Linked DNA regions of Neurospora crassa OR74A. The protein of the gene in region 2 purifies or fractionates together with the protein of the main gene of each other region. This does not show direct contact. Links are inferred from orthologs where the notes say so. Each region holds a gene or a part of one and is shown on either strand. Other genes may lie near its edges.

What was found. The genes of interacting proteins can lie anywhere in the genome.
Region 1: the proteins of NCU01323 (region 2) and NCU00424 purify together in Saccharomyces cerevisiae (affinity purification with western blotting; 3 studies listed by BioGRID, with this or other methods). This does not show direct contact. The link is inferred for Neurospora crassa OR74A from reciprocal best matches to the Saccharomyces cerevisiae genes SMC1 and PDS5.

The regions. Positions count from the first base shown.
Region 1 is NC_026503.1:3,811,455-3,818,407, forward strand, and holds the start of NCU00424 (Spo76 protein), read right to left. Parts: upstream 3,897-6,953; 5' UTR 3,443-3,896; coding exon 3,092-3,442; intron 3,030-3,091; coding exon 1-3,029. Other genes in the region: NCU00425 (hypothetical protein), read left to right, coding at 5,924-6,150, 6,213-6,663. UniProt on the Saccharomyces cerevisiae protein: Essential for the establishment and maintenance of sister chromatid cohesion at centromere proximal and distal regions during S phase. Also required for chromosomal condensation.
Region 2 is NC_026505.1:3,657,757-3,664,789, forward strand, and holds the start of NCU01323 (cohesin complex subunit), read right to left. Parts: upstream 4,023-7,033; 5' UTR 3,615-4,022; coding exon 3,584-3,614; intron 3,501-3,583; coding exon 3,407-3,500; intron 3,342-3,406; coding exon 1-3,341. Other genes in the region: NCU01324 (uncharacterized protein), read left to right, coding at 5,469-7,033. UniProt on the Saccharomyces cerevisiae protein: Involved in chromosome cohesion during cell cycle and in DNA repair. Central component of cohesin complex. The cohesin complex is required for the cohesion of sister chromatids after DNA replication.

The DNA of each region.
Region 1 (6,953 bases), on a different chromosome or scaffold from region 2:
AGAACAGGCTGCTTGAGGTTCTGAAAGTGGCGCGCCCGAGAACGGATCCATGTTTCCACCCTGTTCTTGAACTCAGTGTTGGGTTCGAAGGCAGTGAGGAAGATGATGGTATAGTAGCGCGACCGCAGTTTGCCATCGGCAAGATATTTTTGGAGTTTTCGCACAAAACCATGACGCACCTCCTCGACCATATCTTGAGTGGTCAAGGCCAACAGGTTGAAGTCTGATGGCGTAAGCATGTCGTCGAAATGCTTCTGTGTACAGAGCTTGAGCATCAACTGCGCAGCCAAGAGCCTTAGCCTTGTCTTGTGATGCTTGGGCGTATCCTTGTTCTCGACAATTTCGCCCTTCTCCTTGATGATCTTCCTGAGCACCTTCCAAACATTACTGGCCTTCTCTTTTGCGTCTTCGATATCCTCGATACTCCTCACCCTGTTGACTAGTGTTCTGAGGGAGAGGCACTTGGCCTGGATTTCCTCATCCATCTCGGCGTCATTGACCCAATCGGGATCGCTGTCTTTGGCGTCGGTCCGCACCTGGAGGAGGATCTGCTTGAAGGCCATATTGAGAATCTCATCATTCGCCTCCTCGGTAACCTTGGGTGCAAGCAGTTCCAACTGGCTCACAGCAGTAAGCTTGTTAAGGAAATTACTCGACCCGTATGACCAATCCTTCAAAATCCTTTGGAGAAGATCAGTGGCGGTAACCATGCTCTTGTCATCCTTCTTACAAAGAACAATGTTCACGGCATGCTTCGAGGCCTTGACGGGTTGGCCATACAGAGCATAGTTGATCATGGTCTGGACGAATTTCCGATCCATGGCGACATCCTTAGGGAACTTCCGGGCATACGTAGAGCAAGCCTTGAGCGTTTCCGCTACTATGGGATCGTTCGGCTTTGTGGCATTAGGAGCCTGATCAACAAGATCCTTGCAAAGCTGCCCGATGTGAGTTTTGAAGAGGTCTGGGTTGCGTTGAGAGATCTCGTTCAAGATCTCGTGCGCAACCGATCCCAATCCGTCCTTATCTGATTTGGAGTACTCCATAATCGTAGATAAGTGACTGCGGTTGAAGAGAAGACAGCCAGAACGGTAGAGTAGAGGAAGCAGAGTGTCAATAACTGAGGGGTCTTTGCTGGCCATACAGCGCTTGATGAGCTCTTTCAAGGCCTTATACACTGTCTTAAAATCATTCTCCTGGCCAATGACATATTTGATGAGGTTGTAATTGCGGCGGTCGTGAATTTTAGCAAACTTGAGTAGGTCGGTCTTGCTCTTGACGTGTTCTGGAAGAAACTGTGCAATGTAATCGGCCGTTTTGTTCAAGTTGCTGGTGATTTTGTCGGCATTGCTTTCCATAACACCACCGTTGTACCTCTCGCACTGGTCGAGATAGGTTTCCATAATCTTGGCGAACTGAGGCCGTCTAGATTGCATGGCGAAAAATGCCTTCTTCGCCGGTTCGTCCAGAGAGCGAACAAGGAGGAGAATCCTCTCTGCTCTAATCGCATCATGGTCAATGGATGTCGCATTAGCCGATTGCGACTGGGAGTTGCCGTTGGCGTTGGAATTCTTGGTCGCCTTTTTGGCTGGCGGATACCCAAGAGGTACTAGGAACTCGTAGATGACGCGATCCATCAGGACATTGAGTTCCAGATCATTGGCGTAAAAGGCGTTGTAGATGCGCGACGGGATGCCAGACAATGCTGCTGTTACCGCTTCATTTCCAGCAAGCATCTCACCAGTCCCGACAGCCCAGAGTTTAGCCAACAGTGACATGGCAGCAACTCTGACAGCGGGTTTCCTGTCGCGACAGCGATCGGCTAACGTATTGAGAACCGATCCATCCTTGCCTACTCCTCCATTAGGTCCTAGCTTAGCAATAATGTCCTGAAACTTGAAGGTCTCGACAGCCTTAACAGCTGCAAGTCTGACTTTCTCATCGCTGTCCGAGAGCTTCTCTCCCAACCCTCGGATCAAAGTAGCCTCGTCCTCGCGGCTGAGTCCGATTCCTCCAGCAGAGGTGGAGAGAATGTGGCCTACCGCCGTGGTCCATGCAGCGCGAATTGACGGGGCTTTATCATTCTTCCTACTCAAGAAGTTGTGGAACGTCGTACTATGTGTTTGCGAGAAGGATATGGAGCAAAGTGGCGTGGTGAGGATGTTGGTCACTTGGGGTTCCGCTCTTTCTTCTTCTTCTTCCAGGCTCAATGGCGGGTATGCGGCTGGATCAAGGACGGGCAGTGGAGGCGGACCTGCCGCGCCAATGCCCGAAATCATGTCTCCGAGCGTCTCCGTTGCCATCTGTCGCAAGTGCACATTGTCTGCTGAGAGCTCTGCATCAACCTGAGGGACAACGTTTTGAAGGATCATGGGAGAGGCCTTCCAGATCTCCCGAATAAGCACATGTGCCTTCCTCAATTCTTTCAAGTCGGACTCGGAGGGCCCTGTCGGGCCATCATCCTCATCGTTTTCGTCATCCTCGTCTCTGTTGCCGTTCGACCTCCCCGCAAACCCTGTCGCATCGACAATCACATCACTAAAATACTGACTGGCGAAACGGGCCATCTTGTCGTCATAAGTCTGGCATAGATTCCTGACCATCTGGTAAGCCTCGGGCTCTTCCTTCAGAAGCAGCGTTGCCTGGCTGTCATCGACTGGCACATGATCCTGCCGTTCCTTGCCTAGTCCCGGAGCAGCCGCTCTCAGGAATTGGGCCATGATGACATCCACAACCTTTCCTGGAAGGGTTACGGAGTCGTCGATGAGTACTCCCAGCATCTCTTGCATGCTAAACTCGACGTCTTTTCCAACCTGCTCTCCCTTGGAAGATTTGACACCCGAGACACCGTCGAAAATGGTGGTAAAAAGCTTGAGTAGCAAGGCTTCGCTGCCTTCAACATCGAGTAGCAGAACGATACTCTTGATCTCGGCAAAGGATCGCAGCACATACTTGTGTTGGTTGTTGTAGGGATTCGATGGATCGAAGAGGGCGGGAATGATGGAGTTGATGCTGAGGTTAAAGATGTCCTGTTTTGCGATCACCAACGTCAGCAAGTGGTCCATGAGATGGTGTATTCTGGCTCTCGAACCTTGAGTTGCGATGGTGTAAAGGGCGCATCGGGGGCACATAGCCTCAAGATATCGACAATGCAGCATGCCGTGTATGCTCGTACGCCCTTGTCCTTATGTTGGATGAGCTGATGAGAGGCTACGTCCTTAGCAACCTTGACCAGTGAATTGGTGTCCACAGTCTCCTGATCCATCTCCGACAGCTCCTTGGAGAGGGCGTCGAGCCTCTTGAGCAGTGTATCGATGGAGATGGGCTTGCCGGGGCGCCATGTCAAGGGCTCGTTGAACTCGAGTGCGACCAGTCCCTGTTCCTGCTCCTGCTCCTGCTCGAGCTCCTCCTCCTCCTCGGGAGCGCTTCGACGTGGCGCCATGGCGGCTGACGCGCTGCGATCGGTTACCTTCCTGCGTATGATCTTGAGGACGAGCTAGCTGAATAATTGATTTGGCCAAGTGACCAAGCGGCGAGGATGGGAAACTGATTCGAATAAAAAGGCGGAGGCAGAAAGGAGCTGGGAGGGCCTAAGAGTCTATGGGCGACCGCAAGCCGCGCGTGGTGTCGTGGTGCGACGTTAACGAGAAACGTCGAGGCTCAGGCCGTTGACTCGCGATTGACGATGCGCGCGGGTCCTTGGAGATATACGGGCAGCTTGGTATCGCGGGCCACGAATTAAGATCCGAGATAATGATATGCGCAGGTGGTGTCTAGATGTCGCGCGACAGGCCGACTGAGCTCGGAGGAGGATACAGTCAGTTGCGGGGGGATGATGAGTCGTTGATATGGTTCGGCAACAGCTGTGTTACGCGCTTGCCCGTCCTGTTCCTTCGCGTGACGGGCAGTACAACAATTCGTGAACTACCACTTGGGGGGGGGGGGAAACAATTGGCGGGACGATGGCAGGCAGAGAGCTGCCCAAGAGCCAAGGAGCTGCAGCGTCCGCAATGGATGACAGGGGCCCTGTGACCACTGGCAAGGGGCCCTGTGAAACGTTGCGATCAGCTTACAGCAAATTACCACTCACTGTTTCGGCAAGCCGCACAGGCATTACATCTGTATGAAAATATGGTATCAGTAATTACAGTATGGTCAAACTCCAAACAACGCTGTCAATCGATGCAACTTGAACTTCAACCGCACGTCAACAAAGCCTCTCAAACCACCTAGAACTCATCCATGACACTCTTTTATTCAACATCCCTAACATGGTGAAAGCTACCCAAAGTATGTGAAATACGAGTCATCGCTGAGCAGTATTTATTTTTCTGGAATTATTTTGTCTACATTCGTACTGGATGGGGGCCTTTGACAGCGTAACATGTTCACGTTGACCCCGTCACTAGTCCACTTTGTTCGACGTATTGCGCAAGAGGAAGTCTTGAGATCTTTCATTCATACATTCCAGTTCACTTTATTCGATACGTTCATGAATATCCTCATGGGCTTCACGACTTCACAGTCTAAAATAATGCGTTACCTCGTTCTCGTCTTCAGTGCCTTGCTTGCGAGTCTCATCGCTGAAAGTTTCCGGCATCGTTTGACGTTTACGAATTAAGATCGTTACGCTTCAACAAGGAATCATATGTGGCAAAGTCATGTATGTCTACCTGCTCGGCGGAATGGACAACCTTACATTCCCAGAATCTACAAAGCAGACATACCTAAACTTCTCTTCATATCTAACACTTCCTACGGCACTGCAATCCATTTATCATCCGTTTGTATCATGCTCACAAGGACATGGATACATCCACGAATCATCCTACGTTGGATCAAACAGCAGCAGAATAACAATCGAATAGTGCAAGTGATTATGTCCGAGATACTGTGAGATCACCCCCTTTTAGCGGCTACCTATACTTGGAATCAGAGTGGTCGCTACGGGACATAGCATTTTGCTTGTTTTTCTTTTCCGCACAAACCTGCAAAATTCAGCCTGGCAGATCACAAGAACAGATCTGAGCATCTACCGTACCAAAGAGAGCAGACGTAAACGTCTCGAGAGAACCTAGCCTTGTCACACGTCTGAACAACCCTCGACTAGTAGGTGAAAGCAGGGTTACCTTACTTCATCGTACCTACCTCTACCCGCGGAACCTTTGGACATGGAAGGTACGCCGCTAATTGTACGGACAAGCTTCAGGTGACGGAATTGCGTTTCCAACAACCAAGCGCACCTCCCCGTCTGAAGGACTCCTTAGGTTCTCAAGGAACTCTTGCCGGCCCGTTTTCATCCCATCCTCCTCGGTCGCCAGTCGAAAACAGTCGTCCACAATGGCAGCTGCTGCAGTGGTTTTGACATTCACTCCCTCCTTCCCCAGCGTATAAGAATCCCAAAGCTGGCCCGCAGTCTCTTCTTCCACCTTTCCTCCTTCCCACCTTTGCACTCTTCTTCGACAACTGCGGGATCGTCTTTCCACTCTCAACAGCCACTCGTTCAGCGCGCGCGCATCCAGCCCTCCAGGATTAATCACTCGTAAGCACCGAGTCCCATCATTCTGCTTCCTTTTTATTTCTCGTCCATTTGATTGTATCGTTGCGACGACTCGTCGCATGGTGGGGAGGCTCCTCGATCGCAACACGGTCGCAACATGACAGTGGTCTTGCAACACCTTCGTGGGGCACCTCTTCACCATGCGCCTGGTCTTATCACCATAGCAGGCGACTCTGCGCGCATCAAGAGGTCTTGATCCCGGACTCTTACCGGCGTGTTCATGCCTCGTCGCCGTTGTCGCAAAGCCTTTCTGGGCCCCCTCTCCCCTTCCCCTGTTCTGCCCCGCGCCCATGAGTTATAGTTACTCTCTCATCTTGCGCGTCGTCTAACCATCCTTTCTAGCTTGTCTCTTTGACCGCCACAATGTCTGACAACAGTGTCATCGGCTGCATTCCCATGCGTAACGGCAACGAGGAGCCCTGCGTTATCATGAACACCGAGGAGCCTTGCGTTATTATGCGTACCGAGAAGAAGGGCCGCAAGGTCAACATGATGCTGATGGCCGCTGCCATCTCTGCCCTCAGCGCTACCGGTGCCAACGCTCAGATGGGTTATGGCAGCGCGGGTGCCGTAGCTGCTTCCAGCTCTAGGTAAGTCTTTGATTTCTCGATTCTCAGACGAAGACTAACACTGACAGTACCTGTGTGTCTAGCGCCTCGGCTTGCATTCCCATCACTATCACTGTCACGCCTTCGGTCAGCGCCGCTGCCGATCAGACCACTGGCGAAGTCGATGGTGTTCAGGGCAGCACCTCCACTAGCGAGCCCATGACTTACATCACCAAGACTGCCGTTGCCACTTTGACCCATACCACTACCTTCGTGAAGGCTACCCAGCCTGCCGGAAACCTGACGACCACTGCCACTCAGTACAATGGCACCGCCACTAAGACAGCCATCGCCATGACCGGCACCGGCACTGGTGTTTCTTCTTGGGCCACCGGACCCTACCACTCTGCGGCTAATGGTACTTATGCCTCTCCGACCGCCACTGCTGACCATCCCCAGCACGCCGGCGCTGCGACCTCTTCCAGCGTCAGCTACACTCATCTTGCGGTGGCTCTAATTGCCTCTGCCGCCCTGGGTGCTGTCTTCGGCGCCTAATTGACCTTTCAGGTTATGGTATCGCTGTCACACCCTAGGTTTTTGACTGTCTCTCTCTTTCGAAAAGACATTTCTTCTGTCTCGGTTGGAGTTTGGCTGGTTTGTTTTGGGCTTTCTCCTAACTGGATCACTCGGTGTTTGGGAAGGAACATGCCGGTAAAAGAAGATAAGCTTTGGTTGGCTGAGATATTTGGTTTTTTGAACTGATATCTCGTTAGCTTTCTGGAAGTATCTCATAACATGGTATAGGCTCCCATATCATTGCCTTCGTAGCACATGATAGGGTTGAC
Region 2 (7,033 bases):
TGGCGTGGTACTTGATGCCCGACAGGTAGGGGGTGTCCGTGTCCTCCTCGATATCCAGGTACGCCTGCCCACCGAGCGGATAGGCGTCTGAGCGTGTGAGGTCCTTGTACACGTGCGTGATCTGCTCCTGAATGTGCGTAAAGGCCTTGTTGAAGAGCTCGAACCGCTTGTCCTTGACCTGGTTGAAGGCATCCCGTGCCGCCTTGAGGGCGGCGCGCGAGTCCTCAAAGTCCTTTTCTGTGGACTCAAGGCGCGACTTGACCGACTCGAGACGCTCGATGGCGCGCATGTTGGGGTTGAGCTTCTCGATCTCGGCGGTGAGGGCCGAGATCTTTTCTTGCAGCTTCTCTTCGACTTCGTCGTTCGGGTCTTGAAGTAGTGCGTCATCGAGGTTGTCGTAATTGATTTCGACACCGTAGTCGTCCATGGCAGCTTCGAGAAGCTCGGCTTCCTGGTCTTCATCCTCGCCATCAACATCCATGGCATCCTGGTCCTTCTGGAGTAACATGTCCTCGTTTGGAATGTCGTCAAGAGAGCCTTGTTGAAGAGGAATTTGGATCTGCTCAAGCTTGCATCTCCTGAGCAGGGCAAGCTTTTGAGCACTACTCTGCTGAACTGTAGCCTCCAGATTGCTGATCTCCTTCAACCTGACTTCTATGTCTCTGCTCCTCCTCTGTAGGTCTTGCTTGGCCTCCTGGACCTTCTTGGTCTTTTCTGCGTGGGAGACCTTGAGCTCTTCTAGACTCTGCTCAAGCTCCTCGAGCGCCTCCCGGTCTTCCGCCAGTTCCTCTTCGATCGATGCTTTCTCTTGTCGATATGTATCGAGATCTCGTTCATGCCGTTGTAGGGTCCGTTCTAGTGAGGCTATCCTGTCGCTGGTCGCCGTGTGCTGTGACATTTCCCATGTGATGTTGCTCTGGATGCGTTGTTTTTGGATATCAAAGTCTTGCCGCTTCTGGGCAGCTTCTTGTTCCAAAGTGCCCTGCTGGGCTTCGTAGGCACGGACGTTCTCGTAGCCCAGTCTCTTGCAGAAATCTTTAAAGATCTTATCCTCGACGTCTGAGATGGCTTTTTCGAACTTCTGTACCGTTGCCCGCGTCCGCTCCAGCTCGCCGTGCTTTTCCTCATACTTGGGCTCGTAGTCGTCCAGCTGCCGCTCCTGATGATCGAGCTCTTTCTGTTTGCTCTTGAGGTTCTTCTCAAAGGCGGCCAGTTCACCTTCCTGAATCTTGAGGCGTTGTTCAAGCGCCGTAAATTCGACCAACAAAGCATCCTCCTTGGCGGTTCGTCGCCCAGAGTGCGCCAAAGCTGCCACCTCGTCTTTTAATGACTGTGCCATCCGTTGCAGATTTTGGATGTCATGTTCCTCAAACCGACGCTTGCCGCCCTTCTCATTAGGCAAACGGCCACCCGTCATGGTACCAGCCTTGTGAATTACGAAACCTTCCAGCGTGACAGCCTTGACCTGGATCTTTCTACCGTATACAATGTCCTTTGCGATATGGAGATTGTCGCAGACGACAGATCCACCACAAGCGTAGCTGATGGCACGCTCGAGGGAAGGATCAAAGTCAATTGTATCAATGGTCAGTCGTGCTCCGGAAATGCCCTTAACTGCCGAAACTGAGCTGTTGACCTTGATGTTGTCGAGCGGAATAAACGTCAAGGGAGGAAATCGCTGCTCCTTGAGATACTGCACGCAGTCCATCCCAACCTTCTCGGTGTCCACCACAACTGCATCGAAGTCACGTCCAAGGGCTGTGATGACCGCCTCGTCAAATTTTTTCTGTTTGGGTTTGCAAAGATCTCCAACCCGGCCTCGGACACCTGGGTAGATGCGCCTGAGGTCGCTGATCATGTTCCTCAATCTTGTCTCCTTCTCATTCTGACGCCGGCCAGACTCCGCATCCTCCAGCTTGCGAAGGATTTCCCGCAGCTTCTCCTCCTGGGCGGTTCTGGTCTGGTTTATCCTTACGCGCTCAGACTGGAGTTTGTTATACTCTTTCTTCTTGGCGGCGATATCGCTTCGGAGTTGTTGTACCGCGTCCTCGCTGGCGTCTTTTCTATCCTTGATCGACTGAACCTCCGTCTGCAGCTTTTCGATAGCGGCCTCAAAGTTGTCGATTTTCCCTTTCAGGCTGTTGACGGTGACCTCGTCACTCTTGAGCTGGCGCGTGAGGTTGGCCAGCTTGGCCCGGTTGTCGGCAGTTTTCTTCATAGCTTCGGCTTGAAGACTAGTATATTCCTTGCGGTCCTCATCACTAAGCTCCTTGCCTTGCTTCTTGAGTGTTTCGGCCCATTGCTTTTCGAACTGCTGCTGCGCTTTCTCCACGGTGGCGAGGTCCTTTTGCAATTTGGAGATGCTAGATGCTTGGCTGTCGCGGTCTTTTTTCACTTCGACAATGCGCTTCCGTAGCACACCCATATCTTGGGTGCTTTGCGCAATCTTTTCGTCGATTGGCACAAGACTGTTTTCCTTGTCTTCAATGTCCTTTTCCTTGGCCTTGATGTTCCTCTCAACCTTGCCCACCTCACGTCCTACCGTAGCCTGCTCTTTACGAGCAGCATCCAGTTTGTTTTCAAAGGCTTCAACATTCCGACGGAACTCTTTAAGGTTTTCCTGGTGCTCCTGGATTTGCGCGCTAGACTCGTCCATGACCTTCTGAAAGTGATATAGCTTCCACAGGATATGGGTAATGACGGCCTCATCTCGTTCTTCGGTTTTCCGTTGGAAGTTTTCGGCCTCTTTCTTTTGTTCCTGATACTGCTTGATTTCCGAGTTGATGCCTCTTCTCCGGTGCAGCTGGAAATTCTGGTTCTCAGCAGCCTGCTCGACCTCGGCCTGCAACTTCTCATAATCGGCCTTGTATTCAAGACTTCCGGATATCTGTTCGATCAAGCGTGTAAGATCTTGAGGCGACTGCGAGGCAATGGCCTCAACGTCTCCCTGGAAAACCAGGAAGTTACGCGCCTTGATCAGGATATTTTCAGCCTCAAGCGCATCGTTGTATTGCTGGGCGGTAACCACTCTATCGTTGATGCGGTACTCGCTGGATCCACTGTTTGTAATGGTTCGCTTCCACCGTTGCTCGTCGCCAGCATCGTCTTCGTAGACGGCCATGACCCAAGCCGTCTTGGGGTCGTTCCTCGATGACCGTTGGGAAGGGTCTTCGTCTTCGCCGTCTTCGTGCCCATTGACGCCGTTAGTAGCGGGGGCAGCGGTGCCATCTTCTTGGATTTTCGAGGTTTTCATAACACGGCCACGATAGACCAGGTCTCGGAGATGGGTCGATCGGAGGTGTGACGATTTGATGCCCAAGACGAAGGAGATGGCATCCATCCTAGCAAGGCGCGCGCCCGTCAATATGAAAGCAGTCCCTAGCGACCGCAACCCGGTGCAACTTACGAATTTGACTTTCCCGAGCCATTAGGACCGATGATGGAGGTGAAGTAGGAGTCGCCGAACAGGAGGGTGTGGTGGCCCTTGTAGGACTTAAAGTCTGGTTTACGGCAAACATGGTGAGTTTCGGCACGCTCGCGACCAAGGTGTCGTGCTTCGCGCAGAGCAGAATTCAAGACCTACTGAAAAGCTCGAGACGGATGAGCTTGCCCATGTTTGCGGTTGTTGATGTCCTGCAGGAGGACGCGCCGAAGGTATGCGAATGGGAATACCGGTTATAGTGTTGTTGAGCTAGCGCAGACGATACTCGCTAGAAATGGAGACTCGACGCGCTCCAACAGAGATCCGCGGTGACGGCGCGATCGGGGAACATCAAAAGGCGCGTAAACAGGTCGAGGGTGGTGCGATGGGTTGGAATCGCAACCAAGCTTGTAATCGCAGGCAGATGTGGGCGCGGTAGCGGAAACAAGGTCGACCGGGTTAATCCAGTGTCGCGACTTCGTTTCCCCAATAATTTGCCCAGGGCAGCGCAGGTCGCCAAGGTAGAGCATCTGTCGCATCCTGCAGGAGGTGGGGGAGTGCTGCACAGGCACTCGGAGCGATTGAAGGACAGACAGATGGGCGCTTGGACCATCCAATGCTTCAGTTCACGCTTCAACGGCGGGGGACGAAAATACGGGTTAGGGTTATAGCCCATGACTAACAAGTAGCCATGTCCACCTTGTTGTCTTTTTGAGTAGTACACCACAGGAAGCGGAAGGAGATCAAATTCCAGACGGTTTGATGACAACACGAGGATACCTTCCTCGGTAGAGCTTGCATTCGCAACACATGTAGGTTGTTAGTTTGTTTTGCTCATAAATTATCCATGCTTTAGGACACCTAACCGGCGAGAATTAAGAGGCAGCGATGTTCTGGACCTGCCTTTGTGGAACTTGTACACCCAGCCAAGGATGCTACGGGTCTTTTCCAGCCTTACGGAACAACCGAAATCAAGCTTTCGATGTTCCGGATCTTCTTGGATCTCTTGACGAGGACCTTCTGTGCTCGATACACTAGAGTTCAGTGACCTCCCATCGGTTGATAGCAAAACGACCAAGATGTGGCGTAAATGGCCGACTGACATAACAGATTGTGGCAGTTTTCCAGGGTTCTAAGTTCTGATACACTAAAATCTGCAGCCATAACGTCAGCGCGCCAATGATCGCATTCTCTGCCAATGTTAGGCCTGCTTGCATCACATGCTGGGAGAAGCTGCATCCATACACCGTCATTGGAGACCTTGCACCAACGACACTAACACGCCGTCGTCGTCCGTCGTCACAAGGTGTCTTCCTTTTCCAGCTTCAAATCCGAGACAATGAGAGTCACACGTGGTCCAATTTTTTTTTTATCATCTACTTTCTCCTCATCTCCCCAGCCTTTAATCCGATCAAATTCAGACCACGTGTATCCATCTTATCCAAGTCTCTTATCTATCCTCCACGCCGAGTTCAGTATCGTGAAGTCTATCTGCAGTGATATCACCATAATTCACGTGTGCATATGTCATTTTCCCGGTGCATCCCGTCTCTTCTTTTCCCTGCAAAGCTGTTTGACGGGAGCCAACAAGAATCCCCGACCCGCCACTGCCCGCATGCCGGAAACACAACACAACTTTTGCAACGCGCTGCAGCCCAATCTTGACGACAATCATTTCGTCTCAAGCTTGGTGCTCCACATTTGATCATCTAGAAATAGCTACGACATCCCCTCGACCCCAGAAGCACCTGCTGCCGCTTTCACTTCTGCCAATTCGCTACCTATGGTACAAGCCTTCTCCATCCATTGACGTCGCCATTTGATGGCTGTGTAAGTAAATCTCCACCACACGAGGGGTTTCGACTAGTACGTCTCAAACATGAACATACCATCTTTCCCTGCCATGGCTATCATGTCTGTGGATTTAATCTGACCCATTGCCCCTCCACAGAAACCCTATTCCTTCCGTATCACCCATTTGGATAACATTGTCGTATTTTGAGCAAGAACATTTGAGCAAGAACATACTGAACACAAAACACCAACCATGGCCGATCTGGCGGAACCGGAGATCAGTCTCCCGGTCTCGGGACTGAGCCACAAGTCAGAAGGCGCACCATCTACCGATGGCGAGGCCATCTTGACCCCAGACACCCCCTCAACACCGCCCCTAAACTCTTCGCCCGGAGAACATGATCCGAATACCCCAACTCTCGATGTCACGACCCCGAAAAGTCCAGCCGTATTATCGAGGAACTCGTCGTTTTCGGGTAGCATAAGCAGCACTCTTCACGACGAGTGGGATGTCTTCCCCCCTCTCGATCGCTTGACTGTTCTCGACCTTCTCGATAATTTTGCGCTCCCTCAGCAGCTGGAGAAATTGCAAAGAGGCATCCACGCCCGAACCGAGAAGATGCGCAAGTCCGGCGAGGCCCTGAAAGAAAAGAGTGCGATCGCTCGAGAGCGCATGGTGGATGAATGGCGCAAACGGGTCCCCACGGCCGAGGAGCAGCTGGAGCGATACAAGAAGCGGATGCGCGTCAACGTTGATAAGCTAGGAAAGCGCTGGAACGACACCAAGGTCATCACTCTCCGCGAGAAAGTAGCCTTCATCTTCGGCGTCATGAACATCTTCATCAGCGGTTACTTGATCGGCGCCTTCCCCGAATGGTTCCATATCTGGTACACTGTTCAGATCCTCTATTTCATGCCCATACGGTTCTACCGCTACCACAAGCAAGGCTACCACTACTTCCTTGCTGACCTCTGTTACTTTGTCAACTTCCTCCTGCTCCTCAGCCTGTGGGTGTTCCCCGGCTCGAAGCGTCTCTTCACCGCCGTCTATTGCTTAGCCTACGGCAACAATGCCATAGCCATCATCATGTGGCGCAACTCCCTGGTCTTCCACAGTCTCGACAAGGTCACGTCGCTCTTCATCCACATCATGCCTTGCGCCACCCTGCACTGCATCGTGCACCTCCTCGACCCAGCCGAGCAGCGCAAGCGCTTCCCGTCCATCTGGACCATCAAGACCTCTCCGCCCGGCTCCCCGACCGCCTACGCCAACGTCATCTCCATGCTGGCCTGGTCCACGATCCCGTACGCCATCTGGCAGCTCGCGTACTACTTCTTCATCACGGTCCGGCGCCGCGACAAGATCGCCGCCGGCCGCCCCACTTCGTTTACATGGCTGCGCAAGTCGTACTCCAAAAACTGGCTGGGCAAGGCGATCCTGAACCTGCCCGACTCCCTGCAGGAGCCGGCCTTCATGCTGATCCAGTACACGTACGCGGTCCTGACCATGCTGCCCTGCCCGCTCTGGTTCTACTACCGCTGGCTGTCGGCCGTCTTTCTCATGGGCGTGTTTACATGGTCCGTATACAACGGGTCTACCTACTATATTGACGTCTTCGGCAAGCGTTTCCAGAAGGAGCTCGAGGCCATGAAGGCCGAAGTGGCAAAGTGGCAGCATAGCCCTGATGGCATGGTGCATAGCCCGACGTTGACGCCGCATGCCGGAGCGCAAGAGGAGGAGAATAAGAGGCTTGGTGAGCCGACCAAGAACAACAACAACAGTGACAGCAATGACAGTTCGGGTTCGAGCACAAGCAG